Linked DNA regions of Neurospora crassa OR74A. The protein of the gene in region 2 purifies or fractionates together with the protein of the main gene of each other region. This does not show direct contact. Links are inferred from orthologs where the notes say so. Each region holds a gene or a part of one and is shown on either strand. Other genes may lie near its edges. The genes, in order: acp-1, NCU04636 and hsp78.

Region 1 (3,789 bases), on a different chromosome or scaffold from region 2:
GCGGCGAGCACGCCCTTCGTCGTTACCCGTCGGGCGAAGAACGCTGCATCGCCTGCAAGCTCTGCGAGGCCGTCTGCCCTGCTCAGGCCATCACCATCGAAGCTGAAGAGCGTGCCGATGGAAGCAGAAGGACGACCCGCTACGATATCGACATGACCAAGTGCATTTACTGCGGATTCTGCCAGGAGAGCTGTCCCGTGGATGCGATTGTGGAGAGTCCCAATGCGGAGTACGCAACGGAGACGAGGGAGGAGTTGTTGTATAACAAGGGTGAGTTCTTTTCTGGGGGATGCCGTGATAACCTGGTGCTGGCTGGAGATAGGTTCTTGCTGTCGGGGGGCCAGGAAAATATGACATGTGCTGACAACAGATACAGAAAAGCTACTCTCTAACGGAGACAAGTGGGAGCCTGAGCTTGCGGCTGCTATTCGCGCCGATTCACCTTACAGATAAAGGGGTTGTGGCTTGAAGACCGGATAACAGGACGGACAATGAAGACAGAGATTCTTTTTTTCGTTGTTGCTATGCTAGAGTTTCGGAACCAGCAGTTTCGGACGGGTTGCGGTATCAACAGGACGCACCATTGTGTTATAGAAGGCAGGCAGGCAGGCAGGCGGACAGGCAAAAGAAGGCTGTAGATACATTTGTGAATTGCGTCCCTCATCCAACTTCTTGTCTTTTTGAAAGTCATCTCGCCAGGGAAGATCCTATATGCGGCCAAAGGGACGCATCAAGAAACCTAAAGATGCTTGAAAGGCTGAATGTACAATTAGTGTACGGTACCATCTGTAAGATACAAGCTGTATCGTGATGAACTCCATCCCATCGTATCCATCAACCGGGATTACCCGTCTAACAGACGAGTGGAGTGATCCTGCCCGTGGGGTGTTAGTGGAGTATCTGCTTGACACATTTCTCCGCAGTGTACAAGACGGTACCTGAGCGACCTGCACGTGACTCGGCTGACGAGTAGCAGAACGAGCTGAAGCTTCCATGGCTGCAGTTGCGGGGGAGCATCGAGGTTGTACGTACCAAGGTACCTCCACACGCTGAAGCTCCAGAGTCAGAGGCGGGTTTGTTAGCTTCGTTGGCCGCCGCCGCCCGCAGTTGCCCGCACCCGCTTCCCGCGCCCCCGGCGTACCATAGGCAGTAGGCGAGAAATTTATCATCATCATCGCTGATTCCAGCCAACCACCGCCCAGAAATCCGCTTCCAGCCAGAGAAACCCGCAACAACCTCGTCCGAGAACCACCGAGTAGTAGCGTCACACTCATTTTCGGCCACAGCCTTTCCTGTCACCACCACCGACCCTCAAACACCCGACCGACCCGCGCAATTGACACTTTCCGCGACAGCCCACCCAAACAAAACAAAAAATGTTCCGCACCGCCGCCCTCACTGCCGCCCGCGTGGCCCGTCCCGCCGTCGCCTCCGCCGTCCGCGCTGGTGTTGCCCGTCCTGCTTTTGTCCAGGCCGTCCCCAAGGTCGCTGCCTTCCAGGCTGTCCGGTTTTACAGCGCCGGTGGTCATCTCAAGAAGGATGAGGTCTTTAGCAGGATTGCGCAGGTGTTGAGTGGATTTGACAAGGTGCGTTTTACATCACAAGAGACCTACCCGACACGACATGCATACAAACTTCGAGCAGGAGGATGAGGAGGAGGAGCAGAAGAAAGGAAGGAGATAAGAAAGAGGTGTGAAGAGGCAGAGGGATACGAGTGGTCTAGGGACATACGCTACGCGAAGACAAGAGGAGAGAGCGTGCGGGGGAGCATCATCATCGCAAGCAAACCAGCCGGACAACAGAACACAAACGGAGGAAGACCAAAAAGATGCGAAGAGCATATCAAGGCTGCGCAGACGCGACAAAACGAGATGGAATACGATGAAGAGCACTGCGTGCTCCACACGCTGCGCCATGGTCGGATTTATCGGGAACTTGGGAGCTCTTCGAATGGGTCTGCCCTGCCGGCTGGGCTGGTTCTGCTCCGATGATGATGCTCTCCCCTCGCTTTTTTGCCCTCCTCCTCTTGCTATCTTGCTGGTCAACTTCTTGTCTCTTGCTCTTCTTTCTTCCTTACCTCGGCTGGATCTCCCCTCTCCTCCAGCCTCTTCTTCAGAAGCCACAACAGTCCCGTGTTCGCAACCTTTTTCCAGGCCCAAGCTAACATCTACTTTCCAGGTCAACGACCCCAAGAACGTAAGTACAGACGCAAACACCAACATTTCCTCCTCACCGTCACGGAGACGAACTATGATGTGATTTTTGGTCATGATGGGTCAATCCCAGTGCCCTGGTGCTCCCGGCCTGACAGTCTGGAAGGAGAGACGAGACGGGCAAACCGCAAGAATAGATGCAATGGAACGAGACCAAAGATACAGGGATGAGAGATTCTGACACAAGTTTGCGCATCACAGATCACCGAGACCGCCCACTTCGCCAACGACCTCGGTCTTGACAGCTTGGACACCGTTGAGGTTGTTATGGCTATTGAGGAGGTATGTTGCTCCCTTTTTTTTTCTTTTTATTCCGGGCCCTTGTCATATTCCCTTTTCGGCCCAAGCTCAGCCTCTTATCACAATCACCCTTCAACCCAAACACAGTCATAGCACATGGACGCCAAACACGATGCTAACAAACCTACCCGCAACAGGAGTTCTCCATCGAGATCCCCGACAAGGACGCCGACCAGATCCACTCGGTCGACAAGGCCGTCGAGTACATCCTCAGCCAGCCCGATGCCAACTAAAAAAAGTCCTCTGTTTCGTTCCTTGTTCGAGCGTTTTAGAAACCCCACTACTTGCGCAAATATAAAGCATACTTCTTCTCCCTACCTACCCACCTTACCTTTTCACCTCTATCTTTATCCTTAACTAGGTCGATTCGAAACATATCTTTGTCATTGTTTGGGATTCGATTCGATCTGTGTACCATACGAAAACTTAGAACCTGAATGAAAGAAGAGATGACGAATGGAATGGAGCATCGTGATGGGTACGGGCTAGATGTGAATTGTGGGCAGGTCGGACTTGGTCTTGATGTTGTTATCATTGTCAGAGTGGTTAGTCTGGGTTGGTCAACGCGGCGACACGTTGCAATGTTTGGTGGTCACTAAAGTGGTATTGTGGCAGGCTCAATATAGCGTTGGTGTCAACTCTTGTGCTGTTGCGTTGTGTTTTGTTTGTCGCCTATATCCGTACCTACACACTACTTACATACCCCCCCCCCCCCCCTTTCAGGTAAAGAGAACAATCATGACTGGAGCGCACTCAACTTGAAGGCCTGGGTTTATATGTCTTCCTGTCTGATCACTGCTCAGTTCAACAAACACAGACCAGTACCTGAATCGAGCGAAGTTGGCGAACCAGGAGAAACCATCTGACTGGGTATCTAGATGTATCTACCTTTAAACTGAATAGATACGTGGTATTTCTCAAGAGAAAATGTCAACTTTGTTGCGTGACCAAGTGAAGAAGATGTGACCGACGAGAGATCCTTGATACTACGACGGAGTATGTCTGGTCCTTTAAATGTCCCACTTCAATATTTAGATCGCGGCATGAAGATACCTACCTTAAGGTATGCATGTATTCACCACCACCTCAGAAACTTGCCCTCAAGATCACGTAAAGCCAGAATTGTTCGGTACCTACCTCAAGCTAAAACTGGGCTCCGTACCAACCGATATTCTTTCCTTTATTTTCCTCTTCGTCTTGTTTTCTTTCTATCTTTTATTTTTTATATATTTTACAAATTTTTTTTTTAATTCTTTTTTTCTCTCTCTTTGTTTAG
Region 2 (3,727 bases):
GGCGTCTTGTGATTTCGGTTTGTTCTTGAATCCCGTCGGTCGGACCCTTGTCAGCAGTTCCGTTCGAGGTCCGACAAACTTCCTCGGGGAGGATTCGGTCTTCAACGGTAGGAGGTAAAGTAGCTAGAGGTAGCTGTCCTAGAGGTAAGATGCTACTAAATAGTTTAGCAGTGTAAATGGAATTCAAGTAGGTTGTCGGCGGTTATATGGCATGTCACTGATGGTTCAAGTTATAGTCCAACGCAGACATCCAATGCGAATGGAAACAGAATACTACCGAGGAGGTAAATAGGTACCGTCATCGGTTGTTCTGCTTTTGGTCGATGAGACCCCGGAAAGGAACGAATTGGAACGACGGGGTAGACCGACTGGGTCTGGGGCCCGCTGTAGTGTAGCTTTCATCCCAGTGGACATGCCGATTGAGAGAACAGATGGATGCCTGCCCCGGGTCAGTGCTCTTCCTTTCTGTGCAATGATGGATCAGATGCGTCCGCGGAGTCCGTTTCACAAGTGGACATTCCGCACTGTATTTGTCAAGTCAGTCGCCGCGGTGCACATCGAGCGTTCAGTTTCCGTCATGCCCGGCGGCCCATTCTCTAACATTTTGGAGCAGCGTCATTTTCGCCGTACGTACATACGCGCTTGTCCGATGTCCGAGAAAGAAACAGGTGGGGCCATCCGATGGCAGAATGACCAATCAAAGTGCCAAACCTTGTTGGTTGTCGCCCCTCATTGGCACATTCCTTTATCACCGACCCCTCCGAGGCCAAGTCCGCGTGCGGATGCCGTTTGTTTCGATTTGTTCTTTTCTGTATGGCGGAAATTCCACTCCGACCGCCGAAGAGCGGGAGGCGGCAGCTCCATCTGAATTTCTGAGTGTGTTTTGAGCCGCCCCGCCCGCTGCCTCCATCCGTTTTTGTAGGTTTGGTTACAAAACGAACTTTTTCTCCCTCATCCGCCATCACCCTCACCACCATATTCTCTTTTCCTCTCCTTCTTTCTTCTTCCTTTTACCATGTCCACCATTGCGCCGTCCGTCTTGCGACAGGCATCGCGCTTGGCCGCGGCCGCTCCTCTCCGCAGCGCGCGTGTGCTGTCGCGGGCGACTACTGCGGCTGCTGTCAAGACTGCTTCTGCTTCCAGGAGCTATGTGACCGAGACCAAGAGGAACAACGCCGACGTGCAGGCCGAGCATGCTATCAAGCTGGATCACAGGGAGATGGAGAAGCAGGGCCTCACTATAAGCGCGCAAAATGGCTCGAGCCAACACGTCAGCCCCATGGCTGGTAAGCATCATCATCACCTCCCACCTCTTCGGAGACATATTGCGCAGTCGTCCTCGTTGCTGACTCAACTAGATGTTCTCAGCAATGCTACCGTGATGGATGAGGGACAGCGTCCCATCTACCTGGATATGCAGGCCACAACCCCCATCGACCCCAGAGTGCTCGATGCCATGATGCCCTACTTCACCAACGTCTATGGCAACCCCCACTCGAGGACACATGCCTACGGCTGGGAGACTGACAAGGCCGTTGAAGAGGCGAGGAAACACATTGCTGATCTGATTGGCGCTGACCCCAAGGAAATCATCTTCACCAGCGGTGCCACCGAAAGCAACAACATGAGTATCAAGGGCGTCGCTAGGTTCTTTGGCCGGTCCGGCAAGAAGAAGCACATCATCACCAGCCAGACAGAACACAAGTGTGTCCTCGACAGCTGCAGGCATCTCCAGGACGAGGGTTTCGAAGTGACCTATCTCCCAGTGAAGAGCAGCGGCCTGATCGACATGGCGGAGCTGGAGGCTGCCATCCGTCCCGACACCGCCATCGTCAGTATCATGGCTGTCAACAACGAAATTGGTGTCATCCAACCCCTCGAGGAAATCGGCAAGCTTTGCCGGTCCAAGAAGATCTTCTTCCACACCGACGCTGCCCAGGCTGTTGGCAAGATCCCCGTTGACGTTAACGCCATGAACATTGACTTGATGTCCATCTCCTCCCACAAGATTTACGGCCCCAAGGGCATTGGTGCATGCTACGTCCGTCGTCGGCCAAGAGTCAGACTGGACCCCATTATCAGCGGTGGTGGTCAGGAGAGAGGTCTTCGCAGCGGCACGCTCGCTCCTCCGCTCGTTGTCGGCTTCGGAGAGGCGTGCCGCATCGCCAAGGAAGAAATGCCGGTATGTTACAGTCTCTTTTGTCTTCCTTTGCCCCTTTTATGATGAGTCGCTTTACACATGCATGGCTTTCTGAAGTCCCGTGACAAGGACTCCTTGTTGATAGACAGCAACTTCTCTGATCATGATTCTTCCATATCCCACATTTAATGCATCTCTCGTTCAAGGATGGGCGCTAACTGTTACAACAGTACGACTCCAAGCGCATCAAGCACCTTTCCGACCGTCTTCTCAACGGTCTGCTCTCCATGGAGCACACCAGCCAGAACGGTGATCCCAACCACTTCTACCCCGGCTGCGTGAACGTTTCTTTCGCCTATGTCGAGGGTGAGTCCCTCTTGATGGCCTTGAAGGATATTGCACTTTCTTCTGGCAGTGCTTGCACTTCGGCTTCTCTGGAGCCTAGTTATGTTCTCCGTGCTTTGGGTAACAGTGATGAGAGCGCCCACTCCAGTATCCGTTTCGGTATCGGCCGGTTCACTACCGAGCAGGAGATCGACTACGTGCTCAAGGCCGTAACGGAGCGTGTGGGCTTCCTCCGTGAGCTTTCTCCTCTGTGGGAGCTCGTCCAGGAGGGTATCGACCTGAACACGATCCAGTGGAGTCAGCACTGAGAGGTGACATGATGTGGTTGATGTGCGGTATTTTAACACGGTTTATAAACTGGGCGGAGTTTCTATTGCATTTTTATTTCTCCCGCTGCGCTGCCTTTTCACAAACACTACAGGCCGCTCGGGTTGTTTATACGGCCAACTTTACGAATTGCCGAGGCTCCCGCAAGGACGGAAGCAAGGGGCAAAACATGACCCATTGTATACTATCATGTATGTAAGCGATATTTGCGGATGACCTTTGTTTTGATGAGCAAGAGAATGATACCATAGGGCTGGGAGGCGGCGCTCGGAGGTGTCAGAAGAACAATTCATCATTCATATAATGGATACACATAATTCCCCAGCACTGTGGCTGATAAACGTCTTTTTTTCCATTTGACTTTGGCTGTGTGTAGATCGTGTCCATTTTGTGACTGTTCTGAACCCCCCAACCCGATGGTTCTGCTGAAGAACTCTACAAAGGGCGTGCGTATACAATGTGGCCAGTTACCGAGGTCGAAGGCCAGACAATGAGTGAGTGTGTACATAGTAGTGTACGTTCTCAGAACTAAGGGTCAAGGGTTCCACCTGAAAACCGCCTTGGTGTTGAGGGGCTTAGCTCGGCTCGTTGGTGGCTGCGACGACTTATGATGTCACAGTTTCGTTTGAGATGGTGGGATGAACTGACGAACGAACCCCTATTGGCAGCCTCTCGCCTATGACATCATAGTCTCTGGTGTGCTTTGTGAGACTACAAACGACATCTTCACAGGCACACACTATGGTAAGGCCATCCAATGGACATTGCTGCCACATGCAATGACTAGTAAGTTGCTGGAAGCTACGAACTGGAACAAACAAGAAAGACCATGACTGGACCAATTAGAGCAAAAAGCGGGTTAGACATTTCGGAAGTGATGAACTGACACAAGGCTCACATGGCCATTTTCAGGCC
Region 3 (3,600 bases), on a different chromosome or scaffold from region 2:
GTAACATAAGAGGAGAACCAGTAACAAATGAGAGATACAATAAAGATACAACTGCTCGCCATCAACCTGGGATCAGATTAGCAGCAGCGGGCCACTTCATGCCTCAAGAGCAGTCTAAGCCTCAGCCTCAGCCTCCTCGGCAGCCGGAGGCTGCTCCTGCTGCTCCGCGTAGACATTCAGTCCGCTCCTGTCCTCCTTGATTTCCACCACCGCCTTATCGCCCGACTTGATCTGTCCACGAATGATCTTATCCGCAAGCCCATTTCCAATCTCGGTGGTGATGAGCCTGTTGAGCGGCCTCGCGCCAAACTTGGGATCATATCCCCTCTCAGCCAGCCACTGGCGGACCTCTTCGGGAACGTCGAGGGTGATGCGGCGATCGTTGAGTCGCTCCTGGAGCTCCTTCAGGCGGATGTCAACAATGTCCCTGAGCGCCTCCATAGCGAGACGCTTGAAGATGATAAAGGAGTCGATGCGGTTAAGGAACTCGGGCGGGTACTGGGATGCGACGACGTCCATGACGGCCTGCTTGACGTCTGGGTGGATGTCACCGTCTTCCGTCTCCTTGTAGGGGACCATGGGGTTGGCTCCAACCAGGATGTCGGCACCGAGGTTGGAGGTGAGCACGATGATGGTGTTCTTGAAGTCAACCTTGTGGCCCTGGGCGTCGGTCAGGTAGCCCTCATCGAGGACCTGAAGGAGCAGGGCCGAGATGTCTCTGTGCGCCTTTTCGAACTCGTCGAGAAGGATGACGGCGTAGGGCTTGCGGCGGACGGCCTCGGTCAGCTGGCCGGCGTCTTCGTAGCCGACGTAGCCGGAGGGAGCACCGATCAGGCGCGAGATGGTGTGCTTTTCTTGGAACTCGCTCATGTCAAAGCGAACAACGGCGGTCTCGGTCGAGAAGAGGAAGCCTGCGAGCTTCTTGCACAGCTCTGTCTTGCCGACGCCGGTGGGTCCGAGGAAGAAAAAGGAGGCCAGTGGGCGGTTCTCGCCGCTCAAGCCGGCTCTTTGCATTCGCACTGCGTCGGCAACCGCCTTCAGGGCCTCGTCTTGACCGCGGACAGACTCGCGGAGGATGTCTTCCATGTGAATCAGTCTCTCCGTGTGGCCGCTGGACAACTTGGAGATGGGAATGCCAGTGATCCTGGAGACGACGTTGGCAATGTCGTCAGCGGTGACCGAGTCATGGATGAGAGAGAGATCACGGGTAGGTCTTTCGCCGTCCTTGGGTAGCTTCTTTTCCAGGTTTGGAATGACGCCAAATCTCAATTCCGAGGCCCTGGCAAAGTTTCCGGTTCGCTGTGCTTGCTCCAACTCAATGCGGGCTCTGTCGAGCTCTGCCTGGGTTTGCTTGATGCTGTCGATTTCGGCCTTTTCCTTCAGCCACCTTTCCGTCAGTACGGCGACTTCATCTTGATACTTCTTCAGGTCAGCCTCGAGCTTCTCGCGGCGCTCGACGCTGGCAACGTCCTTCTCCTTTCGTAAACTTTCCAGCTCAATCTGAATGGTCATGATCTTCTGGTCCAAGCGCTGGATATCGTCGGGCTTGCTTTCTTGCTGTAGGCGAAGCGAGCTGGCGGCTTCGTCCATCAAGTCGATGGCCTTATCGGGAAGGAAACGGTCGGTGATGTAACGGTTGGAATAGGTAGCGGCAGCAACCAGTGCTCCGTCAGTGATACGGACGCCATGGTGAACTTCATACTTCTCCTTGATACCGCGCAGAATACTAATGGTATCCTCCACTGTCGGCTCGCTGACGATGATGGGCTGGAACCGGCGAGCGAGAGCAACATCCTTCTCGATCTGACGGTATTCAGTCATGGTGGTTGCACCACAGCACTGAAGCTCACCTCTAGAAAGAGCTGGCTTCAAGAGGTTCGACGCATCAATGGAGCCTTCGGCCTTTCCGAGGCCAAGGAGAGTATGGAGCTCATCGATGAACAGGATAACCTCTCCGTTGGCTTCTTGCACTTCGCCCAGGACCTTCTTCAGCCGCTCCTCAAAATCACCCCTAAACTTGGCTCCTGCAATAAGAGATCCGAGATCGAGACTGATGACTCTCCTGTTCTTGATACTTTCAGGCACCGCGCCCTTCACAATCTCCAGCGCAAGGCCTTCAAGAATGGCTGTCTTGCCGACACCGGCGCATCCAATGAGCACCGGGTTGTTCTTCGTTCTCCGTGACAGGATTTGGATGGTTCTCTGGATTTCCGCCGCTCTGCCGATGACCGGATCGAGCTTTCCCTCTCGTGCTTTTGCTGTTAAGTCGATACCGTATTGTTCCAATGCTGGTTTCTCGTCCTCACCCCCGAGGTTCATGCGATGGGTACCGCCTGGGGGGCGTGGTCTGCCGTTGGCATACGATCGAGTCGCTATTGTGGGAAGAAGACGAAGAGAGCTGGCTAGATGAGTGGCATTGAGTGCCGGTACGGTTACGCCCAGCGCCGGTGCCCGGGGAAACTGGCGGGTGGTTCGCGAGAGAGAGGCCCTCGACGCCTCACTGATGCGCCGAGTGGCAGTTGATAGCAATTGGCGCCTTGTTTGCATTTTGAGACTTGAGTACGTGTTTTATTTCAGGGGAACGACTAGTCTAAAATCCAACTTGAATCATTATAGAGTACTTTGAAACGAAGGGTATGTCTCTGGTTTATATGGCCTGACGTAGTGCCACTGACCGTTGACATGGATGGAGGTCGAAAGCTCTCGCAACTTCCAGTGGCACTGACGCCGTGAAGCTGGGGGAGAGCTTAGGTACCTACCTACATACAGGGCAGTACTTAGCTCCTTATCTTATCGGAGCTTCCATGTAGGTCCCGTCTTCACGATGGAGTCTTCGGTCAGTTCGGTGGGTTCCTGTGCCTGGTCTGTGCACTGTCTGTATTTAATGGCCAGGAAATTTTTCGCTGTGTGAAATTCTCCCCGTTTTGGTTCTTCGTGTGCAACCGCCGCGTTTGAACAGCGCCATTGTGGGAGACATCAGAGAGAATGGCTCCAAATTGCTAAAAGCTGGCAATGCCAGAAGTACGCCGCGTCGGTGTCTGTCATTAGTGTAAGTTCTAGCACCTTGTTTGATATTCTCCTTCCCTACTCCTCCGTTACCGGTACTCCCACGCCCATCCCGTGATGATCGAATTGGTCCGTGTTACCAAGCAGACTTAAGACCTCTGCAGATGACGACGAAACCAGCATTTATGCGACTCTGACCCTTTTGGCATCTCATTCAACTTGGAATATTGCTTCTTTTTCGCAGCTCTTGAGCTAACTCATGAATCGTAGTTGTTGTATCTTTGCGCATGCCGAGTGCTTGTCCAATGGAGCAGCCCATCTGAAGTTGGAATTTGGCAACCCTACGGAGCCTAGTGTAGTCTTTCCTCGTCACCATTACCGATTGTCCGGTGCGTTATGGGCGGGTGGGAGTATCAAGGTGGTCCGAGAAGGTTGCTGGTTTCAACAGTTGATAGATTATATCGTGTTTGCTTAGCAATAGTTTATTGAATATTTCTTAACTGTTCAAGGGCTTAATGCTAGTAACTTTTGGACGTAGGGGCATGTAGAATGTGTGCACCATGTGCGAAGGCACTCCGATTCTTCACATGTATC

The links.
Region 1: the proteins of NCU04636 (region 2) and acp-1 purify together in Saccharomyces cerevisiae (affinity purification with mass spectrometry; 4 studies listed by BioGRID, with this or other methods). This does not show direct contact. The link is inferred for Neurospora crassa OR74A from reciprocal best matches to the Saccharomyces cerevisiae genes NFS1 and ACP1.
Region 3: the proteins of NCU04636 (region 2) and hsp78 purify together in Saccharomyces cerevisiae (affinity purification with mass spectrometry; 3 studies listed by BioGRID). This does not show direct contact. The link is inferred for Neurospora crassa OR74A from reciprocal best matches to the Saccharomyces cerevisiae genes NFS1 and HSP78.

Annotation. Positions count from the first base shown.
Region 1 is NC_026506.1:4,098,985-4,102,773, forward strand, and holds acp-1 (acp-1), read left to right. Parts: upstream 1-1,040; 5' UTR 1,041-1,376; coding exon 1,377-1,586; intron 1,587-2,178; coding exon 2,179-2,196; intron 2,197-2,414; coding exon 2,415-2,495; intron 2,496-2,650; coding exon 2,651-2,746; 3' UTR 2,747-3,210; downstream 3,211-3,789. Other genes in the region: nuo21.3c (NADH-quinone oxidoreductase chain I), read left to right, coding at 1-270, 377-453. UniProt on the Saccharomyces cerevisiae protein: Carrier of the growing fatty acid chain in fatty acid biosynthesis. May be involved in the synthesis of very-long-chain fatty acids.
Region 2 is NC_026505.1:1,377,933-1,381,659, forward strand, and holds NCU04636 (cysteine desulfurase), read left to right. Parts: upstream 1-804; 5' UTR 805-1,015; coding exon 1,016-1,286; intron 1,287-1,358; coding exon 1,359-2,182; intron 2,183-2,370; coding exon 2,371-2,793; 3' UTR 2,794-3,155; downstream 3,156-3,727. UniProt on the Saccharomyces cerevisiae protein: Catalyzes the removal of elemental sulfur from cysteine to produce alanine. It supplies the inorganic sulfur for iron-sulfur (Fe-S) clusters. Plays a role in both tRNA-processing and mitochondrial metabolism.
Region 3 is NC_026501.1:2,990,298-2,993,897, forward strand, and holds the start of hsp78 (heat shock protein 78), read right to left. Parts: upstream 2,722-3,600; 5' UTR 2,548-2,721; coding exon 115-2,547; 3' UTR 1-114. UniProt on the Saccharomyces cerevisiae protein: Required, in concert with mitochondrial Hsp70 (SSC1), for the dissociation, resolubilization and refolding of aggregates of damaged proteins in the mitochondrial matrix after heat stress.